Linked DNA regions of Schizosaccharomyces pombe. Each later gene encodes a partner of the first gene's protein in a complex. Each region holds a gene or a part of one and is shown in the gene's direction. Other genes may lie near its edges.

Region 1 (3,756 bases):
TCGAAAACTCTTAAATTTGCCAGTAGCTATGGTACAAAAATTTTTTAAGTAACGTCAGGTAAGCAACACTTGATATATGTATGTTAAGTCAAAGTTATTTATGCGTTAGGAAAAACGAATGTTGACAGATTTGTTAGATATAAACAAAAGATTTAATAAAGCTAATCATTTTGCAAAATTAGGAGTCAATCTTCTTTCCTTTTTTAAAATCTCAATTTTACGTAACAGTTGTAGGTTACTTTTTTAGTTAGTGTACAAAAAATTCTTTAAGTTGACGACAGAAATAATTAGGGAAGTCTCTTGGTTAAAAAGAGTCTTGCACGGATACATCCATAATTACAAAGAAAGTGATTGCTGCTTTGAACTTCTTCGCTTTTGGTCTGCTATTTATTAGTGTACTGCAACCTAAAATTTATAAGAAAATCTTTAGTCTAAAGTCCACGTAATTGAAGGTAACTCTAATACAGGTGAAACTTAATGATCAGAATCCTATTTTATTTTTCTAATGAACTATTCAGAGGCTGTGACCGCGGATCCGTCTCTATTTCCCTTTTTGCTAGAGGCTATAGTAAAGCTAGATAAAGGTTGCTCCATTACTTGTAGCATGTAACGTAAACTTGAACCCCATTTAGCTAATTTTTCGTGTAAAGCAACCCATTCGTGCTTACCAAAGACACGATAGCTGCTACGGTGAATGGATAACGTTTTAGTCAACTGAGACATGCGGCCTTCAACAAGTCCAGCACGAATAACATCAATGATCCATAATTCTACTTCATTTTCATCAATCTTCAAACTCTTGGCTACATCACCATAGGATAATGTATTATTGGGAGCCTGGGTAGCTAATGAAGCAATAGTTAAAAGTTTCATCTTACGTGCAATTGCATCTTCATCAAATTTTTGGTGTTGGCAATGAGCATGGTTTTCGGCAACCCAACTTACATAATCGTCGGTCATCCCGCCGGACAAAATACCAAGTAACTGTAAAGTACTTTGTTCAAGCTGCTGAACGGGTGGAAGGGTGACAATATCATCAAAGAAAAAGTACTTAGGGCTGTTAACAGCGCGTTGAACTAATTCGCGAACCGCCTCGTCAGCAGTTGAGTTGTCCATTTTTACGGCTTCCAAAAGGAAAGCAAATGATTGCTCATCATCGTATGATTGAATAGCTTTAGAAACAAAAATATTAAATGCCCGATGGTCCGATACACTGACACCAGCTTCTTTAAGCCAGTCAGGGAAGTATTTCAAATTAGGTGCAAGAGTGCTAAACAAGGAATAACGGGTAGTGAGAGTAACAACACTAGTAAGAATGCTTAAACGTGCGTGTTGACGTTCTTTGACGGCCGTATTAAATAAAATGCTTAAGACACTGAGTATGGCAGGAGTGAGATTGTTGTTTTGATCGGCAATCTGCTCTAAGGCTTGGCAAAATTTAGAAACATGATCTTCGAAAGCAGCAGATTCTTGGATAAGATTAATAAAGACGGCTAAAATAGGCTCGAGTTCTGTTTCGTGTTAGTAATAGCATGGAAGAGAAAATAAGCGAAAACTTGGAAAGCTGCAAACCAAACACATCAGCTCATAGTATACTTTCAGAACTAACAATATAACAAATGCCCTTTAGCACTTATTAAAATAATTCTTTAATTTCCTAGCCTAAAACTATTTTGCATTACCTTTCTCAGGTGCTTGTGCCAACAATGGCAAGCGAGTCAGAAACAGATTAAGAACTTCTTTAACATTTTCAGAAGCCAAATATTCTCGGCAAAGAGCAAGTACATTTTTATCGGTATTAGCCTCAAGATTATCCAAATACATAGCCAATTCTTCCACCTTTTGAAATTTCGTTAGTTGAAAAAAGTTTTACCAAAAATCGCCGAGTCATTAGCGACATACCTGTTCCTCTACGGAAGAGTCAACTACCAAAATAAAATCAGAGCCTTCCATCTCTGTTATTAATACGAATCTAGCAGACGAGAAATGCAAATATTCGCTGTTAGTGGTAGTTGGAGAGTAGGACTTGGCACCTCCACCTCGTTCAATGGTTAAAACGAAGTGGAAGTAACAACACCAGGTTGCTACCTCACATTTATTAACGATTGCTGCATTAGCAATTAACTAGCTTTCTAACATTTCACCTCATGTTTTGGACTAGTGTAGCCAGAGCTCGGTCAGTCTGGAAAGGTAAATGAATATAAATATACTTGTTTTGAAAATAATTTAGAACCTGTTATTCTGACATTATAGGACCCAACGTGGTCGATTTCGGTGTCAACGTTCAGCAATGTATTAAAGGAAACGTTCCTATAAAAACAGCTGTGCGATCTGCAACTATTTTACCTAGAATGGTTGGGTATGATACTCGTATTTAGCAAGTGTGGACGTTAACTAACTAAATTCTAGTGCTCAATTTATGGTTCATAATGGTAAATCATATGCCAATGTAAAAATTACAGAAGATATGATCGGGCATAAATTAGGTGAATTTGCACCTACCAGAAAAGCATTTCATTACAGACAAACTAAAAATCGGTAATTATTTTGGATTCTTGGCGAAAACTGGGCTATATGGCCTATTCAAAACACTTTTCACATGGATTCATAACTACCAAGAATTTCAAGTCTGCCTCAAAATTTCAATTCGTGACTTTAAATGGAGCTACCATATTAGTATTTTGTAGGACATTTCCTGTAAGAAAGCGAATATATAATTCGCCGAATCTTTTCATTACTTTCAGGCTTTTAATGACAGCACTTCTTCCAATGGATGTACTTGCACGTATAAATGTATGTATGAAAAAGTGATATGATGTTGCATAATTTTCTGTCAATGTTTTACAAAAGAATTTTGCATTCCCCTACTTGGATTTTTTATTTTTAAATTTGAAACGCAATGGCTTATGTGTTTAATGTTATTGGTTGTACTTATTTAGTAGTCTGTATAATGAATAATTAACAGCATCGAAAAACCGAATGAACCCGATATCCCAAAAGAAAATGAAAAATTAATAATTGAAAGGCAATACGAAAAAAAGGATCTTTGGAAGTGTCGTTATAACAATTGAATAACTCATTTCTTTTCGTTTTTCCGACCCGTCTTTTTATCAGCTTTGTTATTGCTGATTTTTCTGTCAGATTGTTTAGAAAAGACGGCTTCGCGCTCGTGCTAACGTAAATAGTTAGTAAATTGACTGAAACTTGAAATCAAAATAATTCATGGAAATACTTACAGCCACTTGAAGTTTAGATTTTATTTTATCGTCAAGCTCATAAGTAACTTGATTGAGAATATTTTGAAGGTCATCCTGTAACAGCAATTAGTTAATGAACAATGAATGTGGAAAATGAATAAATAGATGAAGGAATGCCCATCAATTAAAATCAAAAAGTAAAAAAACAAACAAACCAAATCAGATCAAAAATTAGATTACATGACTCAAAAAGCGCAGCAAGTTCACTTAAAACCTTATTTGTCGGATCTGGTGGTAAAGAGGAACGAATGCGGAAGAATAGGGTTCAGGGCCTTGAAAGTTTATAAACAAGATTTGTAGGATTTATATAGAGAGATATTTATCATCGTAACATCTACCACACTGACTTGAGATTTTTGTTGTTTAATGTTTTTGAATATTACTTGTTGAGTAAATGGAAGCATTTTCAACATCTATAATGAAAGAACATGGATGTGAGAATGAATTACCTTAGTTTCAGCAAATATTTTCCCCTTCTTCTTCCCCTTTTTCTGAATCT
Region 2 (3,756 bases), 3.7 Mb from region 1:
CAACATATGAAAAAAATTTTTGGAGTAGATAATATAAAACTAATTAACTATACTTCTTCTCCTTCTGGTTCAAAAAAATTTGTAATGTGGAATCCACCTTATGTCGACCCCAAGCATCCTGATGATGGAAAGAAAAGCGCAATCTCTGAAGCCTCGAAACTGCTTATTAAATTTGCCGAAAAGCGGGTGCGTACAATTGTTTTCTGTCGTGTTCGAAAAACCTGTGAGTCGTTAATGAGACTAGTGAGGCAGGAATTAAAAACCAAACAAAAAGGAGATCTTTTATCTAAGATTCAATCGTATAGGGCTGGGTATACGGTTCAGGAACGCAGGAAGATAGAGAGTGAAATGTTTAACGGGAAATTATATGGGATTATTGCGACGAATGCTTTAGAGCTAGGTATTGATATAGGATCACTGGATGCCGTTATAACCATAGGATTTCCATATTCTTTGTCTAACTTGCGCCAGCAATTTGGTCGTGCTGGTAGAAGGAATAAGTCTTCCTTAGCAGTATATATAGTTGAGACATTTCCCGTTGATCAGTTTTATTTAAAGCATCCTATTTTGATTCACACTCAACCAAATGCTGAACTCACTTTAGACTTGACAAATGAGGTATTACTAGCGAGTCATCTTCAGTGTGCTGCATATGAGCTTCCCATTAACATAAGGAGCGACGAAAAGTTTTTTGGAAATCAAATTCAAGACATTTGCGAAGCAAATTTAGAAATGGTTGAAGAGAGTTATCGGCCTCATCCAAAATATCTTCCTTTTCCTGCCTCGCAGGTACGGATACGAAGCGTTAGTGAAGACATGTTTACTCTCGTCGATGTCACAAATGATAAGAATGTTATTCTAGAACTCCTCGAACCTTTTCGTGTTGCATTAACTGCTTACGAAGGTGCAGTTTATGTTTATCAAGGAAAAACGTTTATCATTAGGCTCCTAAATATTAACAAGAGAATTATTACTGCTCATCAAGTTGATGTTGAATGGTCAACATTGCAAAGAGATTTCACAGATGTTGATCCTGTTCGCAGCTTAATGAAGAAGACTATGCATGGAAGTACAAACATTTATTTTGGGGCTGTTAAAGCAACATTACATGTATTTGGGTATTTCAAAGTTAACAAGCAGAAAGATATTCTGGACGTGGTAGATATTACCGATCATCCTGTTGAAATTGATAGTCGAGGTTTCTGGATAGATGTACCTTGGCATATCATTGAGGTTTTGTCATTAAAAAAAATAAATGGAGCCGCTAGTATACATGCTGCCCAACATGCTTTACTTTCGTTGATGCCAATTTTTATTAGTAACAGCGGTAACGATATTCGAACAGAATGTAAAGCGGGTGAAAAGGAGTATAAAGAGGCTAAAAGCGAGCGAAGACGTCCTTCCCGACTCATTTTCTATGATAATTGTGGTGATTCATCTGGTGCTGGTTTATGCAACAAGGCATATGAACATACTGATGAATTAATTACAATGGCCATTGAGCGAATTGAGAGTTGCGATTGCAAAGTTCGTGAAGGTTGTCCCGGATGTATTACGAGTTCAAAATTTGAAGGCGGAGTTTGCTCTGGAGAAGTACTTGACAAGGGTAAGTATAGATATACTTTGCATTTTTTGTTGGACGGTGAAGCAATCCCGTATAGATTGGTCGCTTAGTAGTTTGTAAGATAACACTCTCATTTTTTTTATGATCAAATGAAAAGGGATTGCTTGCAAACTTAAATAGATTATTCACATTACTTCTACTAACATATTTCTTTCAGTTGGCGCTTTAATCTTATTGAAAATGCTACTGTGTCAACATGTAAATTTAGATATATATGCTGATGGACCAGAGATTGATTCATATCACGCTTTGCGAACTTTAATACCTTCTTGTTAATAATTGAATTTATTTTTTTTATTTTGTTTATATTAGACTAAATTATTAGTTAGTACTACTAATATTGCGTTGTGCTTTTTGATTTTACATTTAAACCCTACCCTAACTTACCGGAGTCAATGTTAGATACTGACAGCGCTCAGTGCTTACTACCGTACAGCCACCGTTCTCCTCATAGAAGCCAAGTCCCAATATAAATCTTGAATTTTTGTAAAAATATGAGTTTTGCACAAATTCTCCGTGGCTCGAGGGCAATGGCTTCTCCAAAATGTCTTCCAGAATCCAATTATTCAACATCACACCTTCGGTTTCCTCGATTGCAATCCATAACTTCAAAAAAAAATAGTAGAGCTCGTGGTGATTGGGGACTGAAAAGGACTCTTCCAAAAATAAAGACAAGATACATATGTGTGCGGCAGCAAGATTCCTTATACAAGCAAGCAGATTTTCAATCAAGCGCTAAATTTGTTCGTCTAGTTCGCAATTGGTTTGATGCTGGATTTGTACGAGATCCTTCTGAAGTTGCTTTGTTGCAAGAATTATTGAAAGAAACGGGGTTGAAAGATACGCGTGACATAAATAAGGTATTTTCTCCTTCTAAACAATCCGACGAAAATGATAACTTTCGCCGTTACGGAGTTTCTGGCGGTATTCAATACAGTAATGTTCCTTTAATTAATTCTCGAGTAACACCTAATTGTGAATCAAATTGTTCCAATATTCGACGTCGACTTACGGCCCATATAATTAGTTCAGATGCCTCTACTGCATACTACGGTTTAGGGGGCTTGATTCTGAGGCTACCTCGAACAGTTGTCTTTAATAGAAATCGGTCATCTCCCCTCTTTTCCCAGGAACAGCGCATTTCTTATACAGTCTATAAAAATGGTCGACTCCGACTAGTTCCCTTTTCCGGTCCCGAGTTAGAAACACATCTTGCCTATCCCTCGGAAGACTCGGAGGTTGAATCGTTTTTTAACAGAGATATTCAATTGGTAGCCAAAAGAGATTCATCTCTCGATGCTCCCGTATCCTATCAACGGGGTATTATGAAATTTTTTATGGCTCCCTCTCAAACCTCAAATAATGAAGCTAATTCCTCAGAGAAAGATAACCTCTCTAATTCGTAGAGGACTTTATGATCATGTGCATTTATGCTATCTCCTTATGGTTTACTCGATTTTAAGTTGCATTTAACAACCTATCATTTTTATTATTAAGAAGGTTCGTTTAAGTCTCCTATATTCTGTTGTTATCCCACAGTACAATCTACCACTAGCAATAATCTTAACGACATACGATTCTCCTTTAAAAAATCTTTCAATCTATTTATTCTTACTTCTCTTTGTGTGGCATCAAATTCTTGTACCAATAATGGGTCTATTGCTTCAAATGACTCTTACACTTTCCATTTGTTTCCCTATTTACTAGTTTACCCTAAACTGCGTTTTGCACTTGACGGTTGTTCATTTTGGTGAACAGTCATAACACTTGAACTGAATGTGTTTTCTAAGAAGTTTGTTTGGTTTGCAATGTTACATCCTTGTTCTCTGGGTGTTAGTGAAAGTCACTCTCGTTAATCTTGACTAGGTATATATTTCAGTTAACCGTTATTTTCGGTTTCACCTCGAAATAAATGTTTTTTGTTGATTATATAAGCGCAAGCGTTTGAAAAAAGAGTTAGAATTTTGTAAAGGATTTTTTTTTTCCGAAATTGTCTTTAAGTACAGTTCAATAACTTACAAAATCTTATCCTTTTACCATACATTGTTAATTGTGCATTTCAACTGTTTAATTAGATATAACTGATTATTAGCATATACTATAAAAATGACTGTAGATGTGTATATATATTT
Region 3 (3,610 bases), on another chromosome or scaffold:
AACCAAGCCTGACCACAAGCCTTGGAAGCACGAGGAACACTGCTCATGCCATCATGATAAGTTCCCTCGTCCAGTTCCTCATAATGGAACCAAGCCTGACCATAAACCCTGGAAGCACGAGGAACACTGCTCATGCCATCATGATAAGTTCCCTCGTCCAGTTCCTCATAATGGAACCAAGCCTGATCATAAACCCTGGAAGCACGAGGAACACTGCCATCACGGTAAGTTTCCCCGTCCAATTCCTCACAATGGAACCAAGCCTGACCATAAACCCTGGAAGCACGAGGAACACTGCCATCACGGTAGGTTCCCTCGTCCAGTTCCCCACAATGGAACCAAGCCCGATCACAAGCCATGGAAGCACGAGGAACACTGCTCATGCCATCATGATAAGTTCTCTCGCCCAGTTCCTCATAATGGAACCAAGCCTGACCACAAACCTTGGAAGCACGAGGAACACTGCCACCATGGTAAGTTCCTTCGTCCAGTTCCTCACAATGTAACCAAGCCTGACCATAAACCCTGGAAGCACGAGGAACACTGCCATCACGGTAAGTTCCCTCGTCCAGTTCCCCACAATGGAACCAAGCCCGATCACAAGCCTTGGAAGCACGAGGAACACTGCTCTTGCCATGAAGACCATTCAGTTCATGAGCGTCCTAGTGCTAAAGGGGCTCTCGAGGACTATATTCAAACATTTGTAGAAACTTTCCAAATTGATGGTATTCGTTTCGATGCTATGGGTGACAAATATAGAAAGTACTGGCCAGATTTTTGCAAAGCTGCTGGAGTGTTTTGCATGGGTGACTTGAAATCTTCCGACTCTTTAAAAGTTTGTGATTGGCAAAACGACTTGGAAGGGTTGAGTAACTTCCCTGTTAGAGAATCTGCTGTAAAAGCATTTTTGATGAATAATCCAGAGGGAATTGTTGATCTTGCCGACAAAATGACTGACATGCGCGGTTTGTGTGTCAATCCCCTATTGTTAGGAAACTTCGTTGAGAACAAAGACCTTCCTAGAATGGCTTCAATTTCTAGTGATCCAGCCACCTTAAAGAATGCAATTGCTTTTGTTCTTATGGGAGATGGTATTCCTATGATGTACAACGGCCAAGAACTTGCCATGCGCGGTGAAGAGGTTCCTTATAATCGACCTGCAATTTGGGAGAAAGGTTTCCCAAAAAGAAATCCTTACTATAAGTTCACGTCTACAATCAATCGTTTCCGCAAAGCTATGATTGAAAGCAAAGACGGAGAAGCTTTCTTAAATATGCAGTCGGATATTAGCATCGTTGATAAAAGAATATTGCTTTTACGACGTGGCAAAGTAATAACCGTACTCAACAACTTAGGTTCATATTACATTCATTTCCATTATACTGTTTCGGCAGAAGAGCACAAGTGGATGGACGTATTATCTTGCAAGTCCGTTCCAGTACAAGATAATCGACAGGTATTTATGGTACGCAACGGTGAACCCATGATCTTGTACCCAGAGGAATCGGCTTATGAGATGGGATTGTGCCCATCTCCAATTCAGCTTACTGAAGATTATAACAGTGAAGGTTCTCTCTCCATTAACGTTGAAGAAGCCCAAACATCAAAGGCACCAGAGCAAAATCGAGGATTTACCAATGTCCTCGCCGCTCTTTTATTATCTTTGTTAATGATTTTGTAGGTATACGTTCCTTGAAATCTAATAATATACAGATTTTTTATTTTACATAAACCTTTTTCATATAAAGTATGATGACTTAGTTTACAGACCCATAGGGCTCTGTACTGAAGTTCATGAACGATAAGTCACCTCAATATAAATAATAGACGGGTAAATCCATTTTAATTTTTGGCTTTAAATTACAAAGTACTCAAGTAAAGCTTTAGCCAAAAAAATTTAAACTCCCATAATGATATCCGACGCAAACCGTCCAAACGTATTCATAATTGCGGTGGTGTGGCTAACTTGTATTTGACACAAGGCGAGCTGCGATACCCAAACACGTCCAGTTCCCTTAAATACTTCGTTGTTGGTTTATATAGGTATTTCAGCAAGTTATACCTAATATTCAGATAATTTGCTTATGCTCAACACAGGTCTACGAAAAGGGCTTGCGCTTTCACCGATAACTCACCTTCTGAAACGATGTAGTTCAGTTACAGACAATGTGCATCGAGTAAACTATTGCTACAATTACCACACAGTTCCTAATCTTTCACAAAGAAATTTGCTACCACTTTTCAGTCCTGAAGCTCTTGACATTGCCTGGGACCAGCATCAACGTCAAGTAGTAAAAGAATTAAATGATCGAGTGAAGGGAACAGAACTTGAGGATTCATCTGTGTTTAACATTATCTTTCAAACAGCCGCTTTGCCTGAGCATGCAGCCACATTCCAGTTTGCAAGTCAAGCTTACAACAATCATTTCTTTTTTCAAAGCTTGATCGGAAAAAGAGCTGCAGATGCCAAAAAAAACTCAAAATATGAAGCTAATGCCGCTATCAATAAAGCAGTCAATGAAAACTTTGGTTCTAAAGAAAATTTACTTTCTAAAATTCATGAGCTTGCCTCAAATAGTTTTGGAGCATGTTGGCTTTGGATTGTAATTGATGATTATAATAGATTAAACTTACTGAGAACTTTTCAAGCAGGTTCTCCGTATCTTTGGACTAGATGGCAATCAAATGATCCCCATCTTATTTCTAGTGTGCCAGATTATAGTGCCAGACCTCGAAAATATGCGCATGTTCCCATTTTAAACCTTTGTTTATGGAATCATGCATATTATAAAGATTACGGTCTTTTAAATCGCTCAAGATACATCGACACATGGTTTGATTGCATAGATTGGTCTGTCATTGAGGAAAGATTGACTAATTCTTTGGTATGAAAGAAAGGTGCAATCAATTTAGATAATTATATCTCATCACAATCTTGTTATGATTTTAAAAAAACGCCTTTTTCTACTTTCACCTTATAAATTTCATTCTAATTTTAATAAAAATTGTGTTTTCTCTACTCGTCCTTGAAACTTCTACAGTAGACTGTTTTGGCTCATGCTCGTATTCTAAATGATTTTAGGCTAATTCCGAGCAATCGAGTCATATAAGTTAAGTAATTTATTAACCAATTAACCGATTTATTGCTTAGAGGTTGAGATTAAAAACATTTTTTTTGTAAAGCTAGAAAAGCGCCAATACACAATGTAATTTACAGTTTATAGTGTCTCTTTTTCATGCAAAATTAAAAAAAAAAGATACCACAGAAAGGAGAAATTGAAATTTTACTGGTGGTTTATTTGCAAAGATAGAGTGGATTAGATTGATATCTAAATGAGAATTGACTAGTAAAGAAAAAGAATGTTCAAGTTAAAAAATCAGTGAGATAAGTGGACGAGCAATTTATCTCCTTGCCGCTGGGTGAACATTTTAACTCTCAAAGAAAGACAGACACCCTTTAGTTATTTGACCACAGGGCTGAATAAACAAAGATTAAAGAGACAAGGGTAGATGCAAGATATCTTCAAGTTATAAAACGAATGAAATAACGTATAAAAGCGATTATTGGATAAATTAATACTCTTCGTCAGCTTCGTACATTTCGTTATCC

What was found.
Region 2: rsm19 (region 1) and mrp51 share a complex: the UniProt entries of both Schizosaccharomyces pombe proteins name them as parts of the mitochondrial small ribosomal subunit.
Region 3: rsm19 (region 1) and SPOM_SPBC16A3.14 share a complex: the UniProt entries of both Schizosaccharomyces pombe proteins name them as parts of the mitochondrial small ribosomal subunit.

The regions. Positions count from the first base shown.
Region 1 is NC_003424.3:384,541-388,296, reverse strand, and holds rsm19 (mitochondrial 37S ribosomal protein uS19m), read left to right. Parts: upstream 1-2,126; 5' UTR 2,127-2,147; coding exon 2,148-2,190; exon of another isoform or gene 2,191-2,253; coding exon 2,254-2,359; exon of another isoform or gene 2,360-2,409; coding exon 2,410-2,542; 3' UTR 2,543-3,076; coding exon of another isoform or gene 3,077-3,172; 3' UTR 3,173-3,236; coding exon of another isoform or gene 3,237-3,311; 3' UTR 3,312-3,411; downstream 3,412-3,756. Other genes in the region: tif313 (translation initiation factor eIF3m), read right to left, coding at 511-1,511, 1,683-1,839, 1,903-1,953; pre-ribosomal protein Loc1, read right to left, coding at 3,077-3,172, 3,237-3,311, 3,707-3,756. UniProt on the Schizosaccharomyces pombe protein: Component of the mitochondrial ribosome (mitoribosome), a dedicated translation machinery responsible for the synthesis of mitochondrial genome-encoded proteins, including at least some of the essential transmembrane subunits of the mitochondrial respiratory chain.
Region 2 is NC_003424.3:4,111,959-4,115,714, reverse strand, and holds mrp51 (mitochondrial 37S ribosomal protein bS1m), read left to right. Parts: upstream 1-2,056; 5' UTR 2,057-2,118; coding exon 2,119-3,030; 3' UTR 3,031-3,745; downstream 3,746-3,756. Other genes in the region: RecQ type DNA helicase Hrq1, read left to right, coding at 1-1,606, 1,782-1,900. UniProt on the Schizosaccharomyces pombe protein: Component of the mitochondrial ribosome (mitoribosome), a dedicated translation machinery responsible for the synthesis of mitochondrial genome-encoded proteins, including at least some of the essential transmembrane subunits of the mitochondrial respiratory chain.
Region 3 is NC_003423.3:4,270,412-4,274,021, reverse strand, and holds SPOM_SPBC16A3.14 (mitochondrial ribosomal protein subunit S26), read left to right. Parts: upstream 1-1,989; 5' UTR 1,990-2,084; coding exon 2,085-2,891; 3' UTR 2,892-3,031; downstream 3,032-3,610. Other genes in the region: meu7 (alpha-amylase 4), read left to right, coding at 1-1,681; nda2 (tubulin alpha 1), read right to left, coding at 3,574-3,610. UniProt on the Schizosaccharomyces pombe protein: Component of the mitochondrial ribosome (mitoribosome), a dedicated translation machinery responsible for the synthesis of mitochondrial genome-encoded proteins, including at least some of the essential transmembrane subunits of the mitochondrial respiratory chain.